Astyanax mexicanus: one gene and its partner. The protein of the gene in region 2 interacts with the protein of the main gene of each other region in a pairwise test. Links are inferred from orthologs where the notes say so. Each region holds a gene or a part of one and is shown on either strand. Other genes may lie near its edges.

Region 1 (9,832 bases), on a different chromosome or scaffold from region 2:
GGGGAAGGGACGATACAGTAGTTGTACTTCTGCAGGTTGTTGAAGAGAAACGATTTAAGACCGAAATGATCAATGAACTCAACACTGAATTCCTGGGCCTGTCATGATAATTATGGTATTGATGAATCGTACAATATATGGACGTGTCCTCAATTATTTTTGCTGATCTGAAGGCTGATCTCATGCCTTCTCTTGTACATGTGCTACTTTTTAGATCTGTAGGTGCATCAGCTATCGTACGCTTGTGCTGATGAAGATCATGCTAGGAATTATGTGAGGAGAAAGCGCTATCTACCCACCAAGAGATAGTTGGGGCAGTTGATGGCGAAGCAGCATAATTCACGGTTCAAACTGGCGATCCTCTGATCATAGAGAGAGCATTGTAGTCTCCTGAACTTTTTAAACCTACTATTATCATGATTCAGTAATAATAATAGTTTATTTATTATGACAGACCTATGCATATCTGTTAAAACATGTACTTCAACTGCATTTTAAACAGACCCGCAGTGATAAATTCCACCTGAAATCTTTTGTAACCACAAATGAACAATTACAGTAAACTGACAGCTACGACTCTACTATCTATATTATGAATGATGAACATGCTTATATAAAAAAAACATGCTCTATCATTTAATATTATATGGTAAGCAGAATTTTTTTATGTAGCTGTTTCACATTAGTTGATGGCTACTTATTCGAACCACAATTTTTACCACAAAAGCATTTAAAATAGGATATGGACGGATACAAGGGGAAAGTGATTGATAAAATAATATACTCAGTAACATAACAGTACTAAACTCAGAAGTTGCACAGCAAAATCTGTATTTACTCAAAATCAAAGAAGTATTCCTTCATATTGGATTAACGGGAGAGGTAAAGAAATTATACACAGATCCATCAGTGAACATTCATAATTACAATTTAAACTGTTACTGTGTTTTACTAATATACACAATATATAGCACTTCCACAAGAACATACTTTAATTAGAAATTGCTGTCCAAATCAATGTGTGAGCTCTGTACACCGAAATGTAAAGTTTTTTTTGCCGAAAGCAAAACTCAGAATGTGTTGATGACCAACAGTATTTCCTAGTGATGGCCAAGGGTTGATTTCCATAATAAATGTTCTCATCATGCCTCTTTGTGTATTTCATTTTAACCTTTTATCTAGAGTGCTATGTTCAAACAGGAAGTAAAAGTGGCCCAAATCCAATCTAGAATTTCATTTGTGATGCACATTATCTGCACATAAGAGGCATGGGCCTGCTTTTCTCTGTGAAGCTGCTTTGTGACAACCTTTACAAACTAAAATTGAATTGATTTGAATCTGTAGGGCAGTGTGAACTAGGGGTGAGACACAGGGAGTCTGTGATACTCGATATATATCACAAGACAATTATATACAACTGGAGAGGATACCATACTCCTAAATAAGCAAATACCAGGAATTATAAATTTACTGGTGTCTGCTTTACTAAATTTGACAACCGAAATGAAACAATGTGCAACAAAAGTGCACAGCTCAGCATGCTTGTGTTAAATGGTATTAAAATAGCCATAATCTGACATAAATAAGAACAGTTCTGTTTCAGTTTAAATGTCTAAACAGAACACAGTTATGTGATATTAACATCTTTTCGACCAGTTTTTTATTAAAAAAACATTAGATAAGGTCCATTTTCCGGTTGCATGAATGTCACTTTTGATGAATAAAGCATTAGGAAGCTTGCCTCGCTAGAGAATTAAACCCCAACTTGCTGTGGGGAAAGTAATGTTTTAATCGACCAAACTACAGCATTTTTTCCACCCTTTGTATTATAAGTTGTGAGTGAACACAACACATCAGGACTCAATTTTAATTTTCATTTAATAAGTGCAAAAGTATTACAAACCATATTTTCTTGCATTAACTGCAGGATTTTGGTGAAGACATCCCACAGTGAAGTTATAACAGCCGCCATGAACACTTAAATATAAAGAGGAATCATGAGGAACCATATTTACCTCTTGGTAAAAGTGTGGCATGTGCTAAAATCAAAAAGCAATGTTTAAGAAACAGGATTGTGGTGGTTATGCTAAAGACCACAATCAAATAATTTTCTTAATAATGTCCAAAAATAAAGTCAGAATTTGTGAATTCAAACATCAAGTGACAAATAACAAAACAACAAATCTCCAAAATGTTGCCTAAATTAATACTTACACAGTAGGCACTGTAGTTAGATGGTATTATGTGTTGGCCTGGCTTCATACCTCTAAACACTTAAACTACAAAGACGTTTAAACAAAAAAAAAACATAGCAAATCATAACTTAATCATTTATCCCACTCCATCCACCATATTAAAAGGTGTTGTGGGCTTCTAACAGCATGTAAAATGGTCAGTCAAATGGCTCTGTCCTTCACCTCTGTTACACTCTGTTCTAAAGACTCCCCCACCACCCTCAGCTCTTCTCTTCTCCGTACGAGATCAGAACGTGCCTCCTGAAGCCGCTCGTTCAGCTCGAGGAACCGCCGGCTCTGCAGGTACCTGACCTCCACGTCACTGCTGGTCGATCCACTGCGGACGTCTGAAAGATATACATTATATGAAAAATGTCATGAGAAATGTTGTTAAATTTTTAAGCTCTTAACAAAAATCTTCTCTACTAAATTTGCTATCAAAACAAATGCTTCTGACTTTAATCTTAAATCAGGGTATCTGCAGGAATGTTTTTTTATGAACTTGTATTCAATCTATTTTTTTTTTAATAAGACTGAATACAATCTTTAGCCTCATCTGGAATTAGGTCTGTGTGATATGACGAAATACTTCGTTATGACGACAGAAAAACCTCTATCATTACTCTTATCGTCTATATCGTTGCACAAAACAACGGCCTGTTTGTTGCCTGGGGAATGCGGAAAAGTGAGCGCTTCTTTCTCTCTCGTCTTTCTTTTGCTCTCTCTTTTTCTTTCTCTTTCTTGCTCTATTTCTTTCTCGCTTACTCTTTTTTGCTCTCTCTTTCTCTTTTTGCCCACTCTTTCTCTCTCTCTCGTTCTTTCTTTCTCTCACACACAGCATTGAACTAACGTTACATGTTAAAGCAGGATGAGTTTCGGGGCAAAATTCGCTTTAAATTCGTTTTTTTTAGGCTAAACTAGTGTTAAAGTGTTAAAGTGTTGAGATGGAAATTAGAACACTAAGTTACTCATCACATGTTTAAATTGTACAGTCCCTCTACGAACTTCATATAAAACAGTGTTTATTAGTCCTGACACTGACATAAAAAGTGAAAAGTATGTTACTACTTTATTTAACGTTATATTTTATGTTTAATTAATAACTTGCACAGAGTTTCTTAATAAAATGGGAAATATTATACAATATGGAGACATATTTTTACTTGTTGAGTGTGAGTCAATATTTAATAAGAAATGGGTCTATCGTGTGGTACGTTTATAAAAAAAATATCGCTGAATTTATAGAAAATGTGCTATTTCGTTATCTATATCGTTATTGGGGTATAACGTTACATTTCTGGTCCTATCTCACAGCCCATGTAACATGTCGTTAAACACTTATCTAGGTTTTAAGTGAGTGGTCTTATTCCCTACAGGATCACCTTCAGTGGACTGTTCCTGCAGTATGCTGAAGACCGGGTCGTTGGGGTAGGCTCGGTTTATGTCATCTATGATCTGCTCCACTGAAGGCGGGTCAGGTCTGGTCGGGAGAACCATCCTCTTCTTGCCTTTAGAGCCCAGATTCATCCTGTTCTCCTGCAGGTGCAGCTCCACACACTCCGGCTGCTCGCTGTAGCTCTGGGGGCTAACGCTGCTTTACCTCAGCTTTAAGCGGGAGGACGCATTAATCCCCCCAGTGATTAAGAGACATTAAGAAACATGTACAGAAACTCTTGTCATAAATGAAGCTCCTCTGTAGAAAAATAACTAACGCTAACTCACTGATACTGACAGCCAACGAGGCTGTGAAACGTTGCTTGTTGTCGTCATACTTCTTCAGATTTGCTCTGTGGTAAACATTTCACATTTCTAACGCACACTGCCACCTACTGACCCGGAGACAGACCTACACTCAGACTGCAGCAGAGAATCCCTACAGAGGAGAAAACTTTTACCCAAGTTATATTTATATTAATAAATACTACCATTTAAATATTTCGTAGACCAGGTATTTTAAAAATATAGTATAAAATCGTTTTGATATATATTGGTATAAAAAATTGTGGGCACCCCTAAAAATTCTTATGATTTTCCAATAATTTTGTGTATTGTTGCATTTAAAACAGATTGAGGCATGTTGCCCAATAAAATAAAATAAAAAGAATCATGTTATGAGTTATTTTACTACTTAGGGATGATTTGTGAAATAAAAATGTTAGAGAAAATCTAAAATGTGACAAAACTGGATTAAAATGTATATTTAAAATAGCATGACATGGCTAAAAATAAAATAACCACACACAAAACATCCCCTCAGAATGTTAAATACAAAACAAATTTATTGAAAATCAGTTAAAGTTGTGGACTTTTGTTAAAGTTACAAAAAATATTAATAATTAAACAAAATGATGACATTTAATACCAATATAAAAAAATAATAGTAACACACTATACTTCAGAATGTTAGTTGTATTGTGTTCTATTATGTGGTCTGTACCTAAAAGGAGAGGAATGTTTGGCTGATCTGATATACTAGGAAAAGGTGTACACATTAAAATAGGACATTTTATAGAAAATATCCTGTCCAGCAGAGTTGAAGACTTCCATTGCATTAAAGCACATTTTTGAAGTGAAAACAGTACAGCTAAAACTGAAACAGTTATTATTGTTATCCACAGTTATTCTAATTCTACAGTATTCGGATACTACCTTAAATAATACAGGATTGAAATGAAACACTGAGTTGTCACCAATCTATTTGTATTTTACATAATGTATCTTACATAACACAACATATTCAATCCCATTGTGTATAAGTCCTGGTGGTTGATTTGCATCTAAGAGGTCATGAGTTCACCTGAGAGGATGCAGTTACCTGCAAAGCTGTAAATCAAAAAAGCAAATGTTATGTTTAATCAAATACACTGAAGTGCAAAATAGGTGGAAAATGAAGTGCTTAAGTAGGCTACTTACATTTTAGTCTACAGTGGGTTCATTCTAAACACCAATGTATAGACATAAAAAAGGAGAAAAAAAGAGAGAAAAGTGAAAACAGAGAAAATGAATAGGATTAAATAGGACATGGTGAACAATGATAGGTTTCGATATCTTTTTTATATTTTTTTATGATTGGGTTTAATCTGAGTGTGGGAAACATGTTCCAATAAATAGTCTGGCAAAACTCAGCTGTCTATCACAGTGGTTATAATCTACAGTGGTGTGAAAAGGTGTTTGCCCCCTTACTGATTTCCTGATTTTTTGCATGTTTGTGACACTTAAATGTTTCAGAACATCAAACCTTTTTAAATATTAGTCAAAAAACAACATGGCCCTGTGTGAAAAAGTGATTGCCCCCTTGTTAAAACATTCCTGTGTTTTCTAACACCTGAGTACACTGTCTCTAGCCACACCCAGGCCTGATTATTGCCACACATGTTCTCAATCAAGACATCACTTGACCTGCCTGACAAAGTGAAGTCCACCAAAAGATCCTTAAAATCTACACATCATGCCGAGATCCAAAGGAATTCATGAACAATTGAGAAAGAAGGTAATTAAGATATATCAGTCTGGAAAGGGTTATAAAGCCATTTCCAACACGCTGGGAATCCAGCGAACCACAGTGAGAGCCATTGTCCAAAAATGGCAAAGACATGGAACAGTGGTGAACCTTACCAGGAGTGGCCGCCCGCCCAAAATTACCACAAGAGCGCAGCGACAGTGTGTGTGTGTGGGAGCACTACTGGTTGTACTGTCTGACAGCAGCAGAAAGGAAGAAAGACCTGCAGTAACAGTCCTTCACACATTTGGTGAGAAGCACAAAGTGTGACTGACACTGAAGGAGCTCTCTCTCCAGTGCTGGTAGTGTTTCTCATGGGGTGGGTGTTGCTGACCCTCATGGATGACAGTTTAGACATCATCCTCCACCATAACACCACCGCCACAGCGTCGAGGGTTTACTTCCTGATCAGTTCATAGAATTTCTTCCTGTCTGCCCCAGCAGACCACACCATTCATTTTAGAGCTTAGGCTTTATTTCTTTCAGTACTAATATCCCTTTTTACAGATAAGAGTGTCAGATCAGATCATAAACCACATAAGAAAGACTGCTGAATGTTAAGTATTTAAGAGATGGAATTTTGCACACTGCTAACTTGTGAATTACTGGTGAACCACATTCTATGCAAACAAATAATACTATATTGTAGAATTACGAAGGTTACATACACGAGATGTACTGGGAAGCTGTTTGGATGTATCCATTCTCTCAGATAAGGGAATCCTGTTTTTCGCCAGACTCTGAATAACTGACAAAGACAAGGTGACAAAGTCATAGTTAACATTAGTCAGACATGTAAAACCCTTTAGTTTCAGCATTGCTTTAAACATGTTTTGTCATCTTGCATTGTGCTGTGTTAAACTCTGCTTATTTATTTACACTGCCACAGCCTATTTTCCCACATGTGCTCATTGAGAAATCCAAGAACACTTACTGACTAATTAAATCAAGCACAGAGTAAGAATTACTGTATTTTTTGCACTATAAGACACACATAAAAACTTTTAATTTTCCCAAAAATCGTTAAACAGGAGTTTCAGTTTCAGCACCGGGGCTGGAGTAGTATTAGCATTAGCTGCTAACCACGCTATGCATTCTTTCACGGTTCAGAGGTGAGTATTTTCAGCCTGTAGCCTGCTGCTATCCCCAGCAAGAACTGCTAAAGCAGAATTAGCATTAGCCTTTAACCACGCTAGAGCTTTTGTTGTTCAGGGGTGAGTATATCAGACTGTAGCCTGCTGCTAACCCAAGCTAGCACTGCTGGATTAGCATTAGCTGCTAACCACGCTAAGCGCTAGCTCTTTTGCCATTCAGAGTTGAGCACTGGACTGAAATCTGCATGTTTACTGTGTAAACAAACAAGCTACATTGGACAAACCACTAGCTAATATCACCCTGCCTTACGGGAACACTCAGAGTTCCTCAGTGTAGCGCTGTCAGGCAGTATTTACTAGCGCTAACCATAGACTTCATGGAAATCTGGAAATCTAAGCTTACTGTAAACAGAAAACGCTTTACTCATCCAAATAAACAGTTTTCAGGAAAGAAATCTGTGTAGATTATCATCCAGCACATATTTGACTTTTTTTTATTACAGTTTACAGTTTGTTTACTTAGCTTAGCTTTACTTAACTTAGTTATCCCCCACCACCACCCACCACCTGCTGAATTAGAAGGAAAACATGGCGACACTCCTGTTTCTTTACTAGTATTACATAATGCACCTTATAATCTGGTGTGCTTTATGTATGAAAATAGACATACATGGATAGTGTGCCTTATAGTGCGAAAAATACTGAGCTATAATCCAGCTCTTTATCTGAGTTCCTGACCAGATTTTTAGACCTTTCTTCAATGTAAGAAATCAGATTGTGCTGTTTACATCTCTCCATTAACCGCATTAATCCGATTATGAGTGGATTTTTTCATATAAACGCTCTTACTGACCAAGATTTAAGAATCTGCGATAGGATTCATAACATAATCTATGGTATATTAGAAAGAGAAGCTTTAAGGGAATGCAATTCTTCACAAAAATAATTATTAAAGTTTACTGTTCATTTTTTATCAAATTAACTATCATATGTTCACCTACCCTCTCTTGTGACAGACTCTGCAGCGTTCATGGCCTTCCCACTAAGGTCGCTGACCATGTTGTCCACAGTCGCCTCATGCTTGAGGAAAAATGGCCGTACTAAGTGATTATACAGCACCTGAGAGCCATTCCAGGAGAAGGGGGCCATGCACCACAACAAGAACAGGCACTAGAAACACCAAAAGACAAGATGCATGATTAGTTGGAGGGATAAAATGTGTTATGTGATTATTGTAGGTATTAAAGGGTTTGCATGTGATGGTCACTGTCCTCTAAGTGGCAAAAAGACATACCTTGAATACATAGTAAAAAGGAAACCAGTAGAGAAAGATGTCAGAGAAGAATTCACCCACACCAAAGAATCCATACACCACCCAGTACGTGAGCCACTGTGTATCGTCTTCCTTATTGGGACTCTCAATAGCCTTTATTCTATAATAAAGATTTAATACACAATATAACTATGCAGTAATACGTTTCTTAAATGTAGGAAATTATTCAGAACAAGTATTATAATAAGAGTTAAATACACTTACGAGAAATATGCAGGATAAACAAAACCAATCAAGTTGCAGAGCAGGGAGGCTCCATACCCAAACAACAGATACAGTCCAGTAACAGAAACAGCTCCTGTAAAGATGAGAGGAAGAGTATAATGTGAAGTCAGATTTATAAATGTGAAATGAAGCATTTTTAGTTTCTATAAGACTTAGAGTACAGTGTTACTTGTTTAAACTCCCCTTTTTAAAAAAGAATCCAATATTTTTCAAAAGTAGTTTTATCCTATTCTTAAAACAATTCCAATATTTTAAAAAAATAGTTTTAACCCATTCTCAAAAAAAAAAATGTATTTTTTAAGTAGTTTAAACCCATTCTCAAAAAGATTCAAATCTTTTTTTTTTTGGGATATTTTTTAAACTATATGAATCTTTTAAAAATAATCAGTTTTCAAAAAGATCATCGTTTACATTTTTTAAAGAAGTAGTCCAAACCCATTCCCAAAAATCTTTAAAAAAATAGTTCAAACCCATTCTCAAAAAGATTTTTTTTTTTAATAGTTCAATCCCATTCTTAAAAAGATTCAAATCTTTTTTTTAAGTTGTTCAAATACATTCTCATTTTCTCTTAAAAAGTAGTTTAAAACCATTTTTAAAAAAGATTAAAATCTATTTTTTTCTTTTTAAAGTTGTTCAAACCCATTCTCAAATATAGTCTGAATCTTTTTTTTCCAAATCAGTTTAAAAAAAAACATATCTTTTACAAATACCTTTTTAAGAGCAGTTTTTTTAGCTGATATTTTAGTACATAGTTTAACTCATTTAGAGAGGAGTAATATTGTACAAAGGGGACCCTTACTTAGGTAACTTACTGGAATTGTTTCCACCAGTGTGTTCACTGGTAATAGATGAATATATTTTCAGAATTTAATAAGCTGTTTGACAGTTTGTGAACTAGCAGCGTGTCTGTGTGTCTTTATGAATGGTCTTATCGTGCAGGAGATCTGTTAAACAGACTGAGTCACTGGGGCAGAAGGCATAAATAAAGACACGCAGAAGGCCGGTAACATCCTGATTAGTGCTGTTCCACCTGCTGCTGCTCAGAGGATTAGAGTCGCGAGCTCTGTGCTGTCTGCTGTGTTTCCTCTCAGCTTATGCCTCTCATTCCTCACCTCACTTTACCGAACACAGCGGGTCATAGCGGGTAATTTAGGACCAGTTTAACTTTCCAGTTTAAAACCAGAATGAGCCCAGCTTACCTATGGCCAGGTAGCGCTTTTTAATTCCAGTCTTTTCCTCGATTTTGTTCAAACAGTCCGTGACGATGTTCTTCTCGTTGAGAAAAGCCTCCACGCGCGTTTTTATCTTAGTGAAAATAGACAGCATTGTGAACAGAGTTAATAAAGGTTATTTTAAAGGATTAAAAGCAGTAAATATGAACGCGGACATCAGTAGTGAAGCAGGTGAGCGCTCTGCAGTTTCGCTGACATGCCAGAGCTCAATTCAT
Region 2 (10,298 bases):
GGTAAAACTAGCACATGCCTCCTCTGACACTAGAGAGTCTTTTTTTTTTTTTTTTACTGCTGCGGATGCAGCATTGCCATGTAGCATCACAGCGCACTGTGAAGAAGGGAAAGACCCACCCAGAGAGGCCAATCATGCTCCACAAGCTGATGGCAAGCTGCATGGCCGGGCTTTAAACCAGCAATCTCCCACTCATATTGGCAACACTTTAGACCTTAATGCACATTTCTGATTTTAAAATTCATTTTCTATTTAAAATACATATTTAACTGCCTTTAGATATGATGTTCTAAGTGGTTAGTTTAAAAAATATAACAGAAAAAAAATTAATGCCTTTGATGTATGACTAAATTAAGCCTCACTTCTCAACAGAGCCCAAACAGAAGAAGCTATTTTATTTTTCATATAGAAGAAATATTTCTGAAATAAAAATATGCTTGGAAAAGAAGTAAAAGAAGATGGCAGGCAACGTAATGAATAGACTTAATCAGACAAATTGTGAACAAAGGCCCAAAAATAGTCTGAACTAATCTAACAGCACTGGAGAATAATAATCCACACTGCAACAGTAAAACAGAACATACTCTCTCAACACGCGTGTGTTTCTGAGCACTCACTTTTTCTCTCCACACTGAGCCACTTTTGGAAGACAGTTTCCTCCAGCAGGATGGGCAGGGCGCCAGGGTAAGTGCTGGGGTAAGCGTGTGTGCTTCGCAGCTCCTTCTCAAACTGCAGCACCTCGTCCACCAGGTGGCAAAACAGGGTGTCGTCATACAGCAGCCGAGGGGCATCGTGGGTCAGTTTCTCCTGAGCCAGAGTAAGGAGACCCCTGCACAGCTCCACCTAATGGGCATAGAAAGGGACAATGCATGTATAATGGCTCAAATCGAAAATTAGTCAGTTAAAAACTGTTCTAAATTTGACTTCTCACCTTTGCGTTGACATTGGCTCCAGCACGATCGAGAATGGGCTGAATCTTCTCCTCCATGAAGGGGGAATTGTGGCCCATCCACACAAGAACTTGGGTCAGATACCACTCTGGCTAAAATGGAGAGGAAAATACAGTCAGTATGTATATTTTCTGTATTGATTTGTCCATTAAGTGCCCATTTCTGCAGGAATATTAGAGCTGCATGTGAAGGATCATCACAGGGCACCATTACTAACCTCTACAACTTCATCCTGAGATGTGTGATACGTTGCGTTACACATGTGTTACACACTACTTTTGTATGTTTGGCTAAATAAATGTTGCTCTTATCATTCATATTAAATAATTTACTGTTTTTGGTAAGGGTGTAACAAATATTCTGTTACGATTCGATTCGATTAACAATACTGAGATCACAATTCGATTTTACTAAAATAAAAAAAATATAAATTAAATTAAATGTTAAGGAAATTAAATGTAAAACAATGCATATTTCCTTAAAAATACTTCAGTCTCCTGCAATTTAAGGTAATTACCAAGAACAGAGGTTTAATATTGTAAACAAAATGCTCTATTTTGGCTAATTAAGTGAAAACATTTTTTTTTTTTCTGAAACATAACAGTGTACTTTTTCTTTTAAACCAAAATGGCAAATTACTAAGAGTTTAAAAAGAATAATGTTGAAATATTAAAAGCAAAAAGTAGATTTATTTACTTTTTTTATATGTAAACAGTAACCTACATTTATAACCTACTGCTTATTAATACTCTAGTACAGTTTAATAATACAGTGTCCAGATTTTGCAAGAAGTCGCTTGCGCTTCTTCTTCGGCACCCCGTAATATTAATTATTATTAAAGATTAAACCTCTGTTTTTGGTAATTACCTTTGATTGCTGGGGACTGAAGTCTTTATAAGAAATTGTGCATTGTTTTACATTGTTTACACTTCAGAAAAAAATATATATAATTTCCATTTTTTAAAAATAAGACTGGCTGTTACATAATTTGTAGGAGAATAGTGATGTGCACAATCTAACCTTGTTTAGTGAGTTGGTCTGGCGGTTCCCAGTGAAATGATACCTAAACCTCTTGCTGAGGGGCAGTAGCATGATCTGAATAGGCAGCGAGAGTGGTGGGGTCTGTGGTAAGCCTGGACGAGTGGGCAATTCCTTTTTCTCAGATATAAGATCGTCACTGGGACAGGAGTCAAGTGCAAAGATTTTTCCATTCAGTTTCATGCATATTATGTTGTGAATATTTTGTTGCCTAATTTTGTTGCATAATAAGATCCATTTATCACATGATAAAAAATACACTGTCTTATTGTCTGCCTAAAACAAAGGGCTGCATTGCTAATAAAAGAAGAACTGTGTGTGAGCTGCTGACCGTAGCACAATGGTTAGTGTAGATGTACGTTTATGTGTGTCTCTGTGACACAAAGGATACGACATCTGCAGGGAGAGGAGCTGAGACACCAGGAGCTCCAGCTGGCTGTTGAGCTCCTGTGCATTAGCTGGAGGAGAGAGGGACTGGGTCGGGGGAGAGACTATCGGCCAGTGTAGCTGTGTCAGCACCTCCTCAAAGTCACTGAGATTAAGAAAAACAAACATGACAAATTTCATCAACAATTTCTTTGAATAGCAGTCAATTTTATTTAATATTATCCCAACAATAACAGCAAACCCAAATCAATTACCATTAGCCAGCCTGCTCTCAGATTTTGGAACAGATTTTATAATTTATAACATTGACATTAAAAGGGCATGTTTAGTCCCTGACATGGGGTTTAACAAAGTAAAAACATTAAGAATATATTTGCTAACTTCAAAACTCTGAATGTAATTATAATATTATATAAAACATTGGCAATACCTTGCAAGCTTGTCTTTCAGGATCTTGTGCCAGAAGTGCAATGTTTCTCGAAGGAATGCTTGTAGATGTGAGCAGCCCGACTCTTGAAGGCCCATGTCTAGAGTGGCCATATTGCCCACAGCTCCAATTGCCTCCCAAACACTGTTAGTCATCAGGAACTGCTGAATACTGTCACTGTTCAAAACATAGAGCAGCCATGACAAATCACAAATCACAAAAAAGAGAGGTAAATGTCTAGAATGTACACTCCCTGGATATGTATGTATGCATCTCTACAGTATATATGATTGATATGATAGATGGATAAATAGATAAAAAGGATATTGGGCTGCAGAGCACACCCTCTCATTACTCCCTTCTTGGAGAAAAAAGCAAGACATTTTTTTCCTCATGCAAGCCATCTATGAATCCATCCATTCATCCATAGATCAATAAATCCATCCATTCATCCATTTACAGACGCAGCCATTCAGGCTTTTATCCATGCAAAGATCCATCTATCAGGGATATATATGTTTGAGGCTATTTCTAGAAAGTCTCTAACGGATTGCACGTAAAAATATTCAAAAGGCTCTTAGCATGAATTGGTTTTATTGCTGTGATTCAACAATTTGACTTTTCTAGGCTCTTACTAATACTTACAGGTAAGATTTTCTCATTTTTTATTGTTTCTAAATTTCCAGGTTTTCCAGAATGCATAGGAATGCTCTCTATACATACGTGGATAGGTTTTTTGATTGATGAATGGATGGATAAAAACTTACTGGGTCCACAGCCTTTTCTCTCACCACTATCTTGATCAATCATGACTGGATCAATAATTACAAGTGTTAATTTTGCTGTATTGCTCACCTAAGCTCCTCAATGCGAGCCAAGCACTGAAGGTACTTCATGTGCCTTTCCAGCGTGTCCAGCTGTCCAAGTGTTTGTCCTAGGCTGTCGGCCCAGCTCTGAGCTCCCTGCAGATGCTGCTGCAGCGTGTTGGACAGGAGCCTCTCCTTCTGGAGCAGGACCTCCAGCTTCGTCCGGGCCTCCTCTGCTGCAGACAGAGCAGCAGATACACGCAGAGGCACTGAGCTGGATACAGTCAACACCTGCAGGAATAAAAAGGTCAGCCAGTCAGCGGAGACGTTATGTCTATAAGGTTGAACTAGACATATCATGAAAACACATTGCTCACACTGCTTAGTATATAAAACCATCTGTCTAAAAAAAAATAGCACCTTTTATTAGATAGTGATTTATTTGTAAATGAAAATATTTGCACACACACACACACACAAACACACACACACACACACATGTCTAGGCAGTTTAAGATATCCAAATAAATCAAACACACAGTGGACTGTACTGTATTTCTGAATATAGTGAACTCTCTCTCTCTCTCTCACACACACACACACACACACACACACACACACACACACACACACACACACACATACACACTTTAATGCTTTTTAAACAGTTGAGGTAAGAGAGAGGTCAGTCAGTAGAGCTGATGCAGGGCTGGTTTACCTGCTCCTCCAGTAACATGTTCTCTGCTGTCAGTTTCTCCAGAAGCCCCCCAACTTTCCTCAGAGACTTCAGGTCTCCTCCAATCTCCCTCTGCAGCAGCTCCGCCACATGCTGCTCCACACAGCCCCCGACCCCCTCAGCACAGCTGGATCCGGGCTCGCTTTTATTCACACCGCTATCTTCACCATTCATACTGTTATTATCCTGCTCCACAGCGGCCGCCGCCATGTTTCTCCCTCAGCCTGCCCACGTCATCAGCAGCAAACGCTCTCGCGCGCGCCCTCTACTGGAGAGAGCGCGGGAAAGCATTTACATTATAGAATAAGAGTCCCTTTATTTTCTCAAGCATGCTACATACAGTACTAGTGCATTTCAAAAAAATTAAATATCATGCAAATTTACAAAAAATTGTGAAAATTATATAATACATAGATTTATTTTAAGCGTTTTTTTGTTCATGATTATGACTTACAGCTAATGAAAACTCAAAAATCAGTTTCTCAGAAAGTTAGACTATTATCTAAAACCAATTAGTTCTTTCGGCAGTGTGCCAAGTCCTGCTTGAAAATAAAATTTGCATCTCCATGAGTTGTCAGCAGAGGGAAGCATAAAGTGCTGTAGGGTTTATCGGGGTGATGATAATTTGCAGTTTCTGAGGCTGAAAATCTGATTAATTTATCCTGTGCAACAGGTAACTTCAGATATTCCTTTCCTAGGGCGGTCCTGATGAGAGCCAGTTTCATCATGACGTTTTTTATGGTCTTTGCGATTGCACTTGAGGATAATGTGTTCTTTAAAATGTATTCAGATTGACTGACCTTCATTTCTTAAAGTATTTGTTTTCTTTAATTAGTTGAGTAGTTCTTGCAATACTATGTTTTACTTAAATAGGGTATGTATACTACTGTATATCAACTCTACCTCTTCACAACTTTACAACTGATGGTGGTCTCAAACACATTAAAAGTGCTAGAAATTCAAGTAATTATCTCTTGATTATCTCAGCACAGCTGTCAAGAAATACTGAAAGTCATTCCAGGTGCCTGTTTCTAAAATATAAAACATATTCTGGTATGTTTAACATTTTTTGTGTTTAATGATTAATTCCATACGTTTCTTCACAGTTTGAAAGACTTCAGTATTAAGCTACAATGCAGATTTAAAAAAAAAAAATAATCAAAACCACTGAAATTAGGGTGTGTTCAAACTTTTGACTGGTGGTACTGTATGTATGTATAATTTTTACAGTTAAAAATATTTTATGTAATTTCCAGTGTTATGGTCTGTTACTCTGTTACTTCTGATAAAAAAAAATATAATAGAAAATCTGATCAAAAATATGTGATGTCATGTCCTCTGGCAGTTTTTAGATGCTTCTTGTGGAGGGTAGCACATGGAATTAAGGCACAAAAGTGACTCTGTCAGCTCTGTTAATGGTTTAAATAATTTAAAGAGTTTAAACCACTAGTAAAGGTCTTTTAAGGCTGAATACAGTTGTTACTTCAGAATAATATGAAAATTAGGCTAAAAAAGCTCAAAGCTAACATGAGATGATTTGAGATGACCTAAGGAAAAACAGATGTTAGCATGTCTAAGTAGTCTTGGGTCTTCTTCTTGAGGGAAGTGGATGGAAAGGATGATGGCTGGGGTGAGAGGGGTCAGATATAATCTTTCCAGCACGCTTTGCGACCATACTGCTATATACGCACTGAAGTGTTGGTACATCCAGTGATCCAATCTGCTGTGCTGATTATCCACAGGAGTTTGATTCATTCTTGTGAGGGAGACAACGAATGATGTGAGGATGGATGTGATGATCACTGTGTAAAAGTGGATCCTCACTGGCATGGCCTGAAGGCAGGTTTAATTACTTCAGCTGCTTTAGGAAGAACATCCACTGCTGCAGTTTCTGAATATGATGGATATAATGATGACCAGAAACTGGAGTGACTCCAGAGTGGAAACCTCAGCACCATGGGTGTCTGTGGGGGTGGGTCTAAAGTCTGGTCTACAGTCATCTCTACAGTCTTTTGTGTCTTCGGCAGCAGGTGGTTGCTGCCGCACCAGGGCACCAGCTGCTCAACTTCCTCTCTGTAGGCAGACTCATTACTGCTGGTTATGAGGCTGACCATAGTGGTGGTGTCCTCAAACGTCAGATTCTTCACAGATGAATCTTTGGAGATGCAGAGCCTGAAGAGCAGGGGGGAAAGCACAGGCTTGTAGTACTCCAATACAGAGAGTCCAGATGTCCAACGTGTTTTCCTAACCCATATGCTGCCTCCTGTTGGTCAGGAAATCCATGATCCATTGGCAGATGGGATTTGGCACTGACAGCTCGCACTGCTTGACCTGCAGATGCTCTGGCACAATGGTGTTAAAAGCTGAGCTGTCCACAAACAAAACTCTAGCGTAGATCCCTGAACTGTGGAGATGCTGTAACATGGAGTGCAATGCCAAATTTATTGCGTCATGGACAGACCTGTTTGCTCTATACACAAACTGTGGGGGGTCCAGCAGAAGATCTGAAATTGCTTTCAGGTGGTCTAGGACCCGGCATTTAAAAATCAGAACTTTTTCTTCTTTTTCTTCGTACTCTCCCTTAGCAGATAATCATCAATATTGTAGCAACATAGAATGCTGACAGGGAGAATTGATAAACAACTGGTTCAAGTTAATTTTAACACTCTGTGGCAGCTAAATTAAATTAAATAAAGTGTATTATACCAGTGTATTCAGCTTACTTCTTCTTCACAAACAGGATGTTTTCCAGGTGAAATATGCAGGCTGTACAGGTCTAGGATAATAGCATTAGCTAAAGTAACTTAGCATAACTTTTATTTGTTTTCCAAACCATCACTGCTTGTGGAAACTTCACCCTAGACCTCAGGCAGCTTGGACAGATACTATGGCTGTAATCCATAATAACAAACAATAAAAAAATAAACACTTAAAATAGATCACTCTGTGTGTAATACATCTAAATAATATATATGTTTCACATTTTAAACCAAATTACTGAAATAAACTAACTTTAATGATATAACATTTTTTTGACTGCACTAGTATATACAGTGGAGACACTGTTCAGGTAATTTTGTAATGTTTATTCTCTGACATTTTTGTATAATTTAGTTGTTAAGAAATCTGTTTCTTTGCTATAGTGTAAATAGAAACCAGGGGTCACAATGAACATTAAGAAAGCCAGTGTACTATTCAAAAAGGCCAGAGGATGCATGCATAACATATAACGTTACCTAACACCCTTCATTTAGCTCTCCACCACTAACTAGAGTTTACTAGAGTATAACATGTTTTAAAAATGTGTGTTTACCATTGCCTAATGAAATCTTTTTGGCTGGTGTTTTTACTTCTGTTTGCTGATGCTCTAGTGTATGTATTTTCTGCACACCTTTGTGTGTGTTCCTCTTTGCCATCTGTCTGCTCATTAGACTAGGTTGCTTAACACCTTTAAGGGTGCCCAGTGTCCATCTTGCAGGCCTGTGCTTGCTTTGGATGGCACGATGGACCTGTCCTGGAGGATGTTTGGCTTACAGTGAGCTTGCCAAAGTAAACCTAGGCTGGAGCAACAGCTGTAGAGCCATCCATAAGCTGTCCCACCATGCTGTTCCCTCTGTTTAATTCCACAACAGAACCAGCCCTAACATGGTGCATCATCGATCTCATTATGTAACTCGTACTCAGACTAAGGGGGTGATTTGTTGAATGGCTGTGGTGGGAACTGGGTATCTACTGAACATCCATACTGGCTCAGTAAATAGGAAACACACTGCTCAATAGCAGTACTGGTCACATTATGTCAGTATTGTGACCAGTATTTTGTCCCATTTGTGAATGTTTTGAACTGGTTGCTTAGCAGCAGCAATCATAGCAACAGTTTGCTAACCCACAACCCAGCAAACACTAGTCTTGTTAAACTAACCACTGTTTTTGGTTGAACACCATTTGTGGGGATTAAAAAAAAAACGTTTGGCAAAGTGCATGAATGTGTGCATGAATATAAGGTGCAGAACTTCTAAAAAAAAAAAAGCAATGAATAGAAAGGTGTGTTTGTTTTGTGGTTGAATTAACTAAGGACTGAAATAAAGTAACTTAAAAGTAAACATAATAAAATAAAATAAAAACAGCCTTCTTCTTCTTCATCACCTCCTGCATGGCCTCTCAGTTCTTTTATGACTAACGACTAAAAAAAGTCATGAAGTGTGCGCCTGGTATAAGCTTTTGATCTGTTTTCCCAATCCATGAACATGACCAGTGGCAATGGTACTCTTTCTGGAGGGAGCTCTCTTGTGCACCACTATGCTGATTCAAGGTTAGCACAATGTTAACAAACAACATTAGTTAACTGATTGTTATGCTGCACTACAATTAAATATTTTATTCGTGCTGTCCATCTGTTTTTTGTGCGTGCATTTTTGTTTTTTTGCACTGGAACTACAATTTTAATTTAGTTAAGACAATATTAGAAGCTTAGGCAGAGAATAAGCACAGTGCAAATCCCGAATCTTGAATTGTTTATGTATTTTCCGACACTGTATAGCATTTTGTTATATAGAAAAATTTACAAGAATGTGCAGTACTGATTAAAACATTGATTGCCACATTGATTGACCAACATCTTGATTTTTGTCCATAGACAAAGTCATGAAATTTCAGAGGCCACATAAGCTGTATGTACATATGATTTCAGGAAAATGTCAGGAGAATCAAGTCACATTCATGCATGCAGCAAAAGCCAAGATCAGGATGCAAAGAAAAAAATGACAGAATGTGAATTCTCCTGAAAATGATCTATTCTGTTCACACATGGGCTCCCTCGGACATTACCCAGATTTAGTCTAAGGGACTGAGAGGATAAAGACTATGGTATGACTGATCCGGACAGTTCTGGGTAACTGTGCATGTGTAAAAGGGGCTTTAAAAAAACACATCCTCCCTGTCTCCACTTCGTGAACAAAAATGTGCTTTATTTTTTAAAACCCAACCTCAGCTTTAACTTGCTCGAAAATGGGCAGTCAGTGTGACGGACACAGGGAGGGAGGGAGGATGGGTGTGGTGTGTTCTGAGTGCTTGTCTTCTTTTCAGATCCATCTCGATGCCCTTGAGGCACTTACAACATCCCCCTCACTCACATGTTTGCACCATAAAACTGTCAAGGCCATGAATAATGAGTCTGTTGTACTGCAGCCGCTGCAGAACGATGGCGTTGACCTGACGCTCTTCTCCTCCCTGTGTGAGTTCATGAGTGAGAATGAGTGACGATGGCGGATAGGAAAATATGAATTGGAGAAGCAGGGCTGTTTACTGCAAGCTATTTGGGGGTGGAGAAGGTAGAGAAAATTCTCTATGTTACAGTACTGCTACTGTATTAATCATTTAAGTAAGCGCACAATGAAAAATCATGCTCAAAATTTAAGTCAATTTATCCCTTTACACAAAAAACCCTGTAGTGACATGCTTAATAAGCTAACCCATTACCTGTAAAAGTTTTAGTTTTTTTTAATGTGGAAATGATGATCCTACTTAATGATGTGCCATATCGTATCGTACGCAATAATATTGTCAACATTTTTTAATATCGTGAAGGATATTTTACCCTGAAATATCGTGCCATATCACCCACCCCTAATATTTTATCAGGAAACTACTTTTTTGCTGGTTTTAGCAAAAGAAACATTTACGCTATTCTCATTTCCCATTATATATCTACTAGAGACAGATTAGATCAGTCCAATATAATTTATTTTACTTTAATCCTGGATATATGGAGATATATGGAGTGCATTTTTTTAGTATCATGACATTCTGGACCATTGATTTCTGTTACAAATCTATTTTTTTAATATCTCAGCTAGGGGTTTGCCATATCATATTGCATTCAATAATAAAATTTTATTCACATTTTGTTGCAGTAAAGTATTCTTTAAATATTTTTTAAATTCAGTTAGTTTTGT

Evidence for each region.
Region 1: the proteins of rint1 (region 2) and c16h19orf25 interact in binary tests that used the Homo sapiens proteins (3 or more experiments, as listed by UniProt). The link is inferred for Astyanax mexicanus from reciprocal best matches to the Homo sapiens genes RINT1 and C19orf25.

The regions. Positions count from the first base shown.
Region 1 is NC_064423.1:18,737,359-18,747,190, reverse strand, and holds c16h19orf25 (UPF0449 protein C19orf25 homolog), read right to left. Parts: upstream 4,025-9,832; 5' UTR 3,762-4,024; coding exon 3,617-3,761; intron 2,582-3,616; coding exon 2,397-2,581; 3' UTR 1,861-2,396; downstream 1-1,860. Other genes in the region: reep6 (receptor expression-enhancing protein 6), read right to left, coding at 5,151-5,171, 6,402-6,481, 7,829-7,997, 8,122-8,260, 8,365-8,458, 9,585-9,711.
Region 2 is NC_064409.1:11,967,547-11,977,844, forward strand, and holds the start of rint1 (RAD50-interacting protein 1), read right to left. Parts: upstream 4,602-10,298; 5' UTR 4,555-4,601; coding exon 4,327-4,554; intron 3,900-4,326; coding exon 3,658-3,899; intron 2,980-3,657; coding exon 2,806-2,979; intron 2,521-2,805; coding exon 2,380-2,520; intron 2,128-2,379; coding exon 1,971-2,127; intron 1,043-1,970; coding exon 932-1,042; intron 844-931; coding exon 618-843; intron 1-617. UniProt on the Homo sapiens protein: Involved in regulation of membrane traffic between the Golgi and the endoplasmic reticulum (ER); the function is proposed to depend on its association in the NRZ complex which is believed to play a role in SNARE assembly at the ER.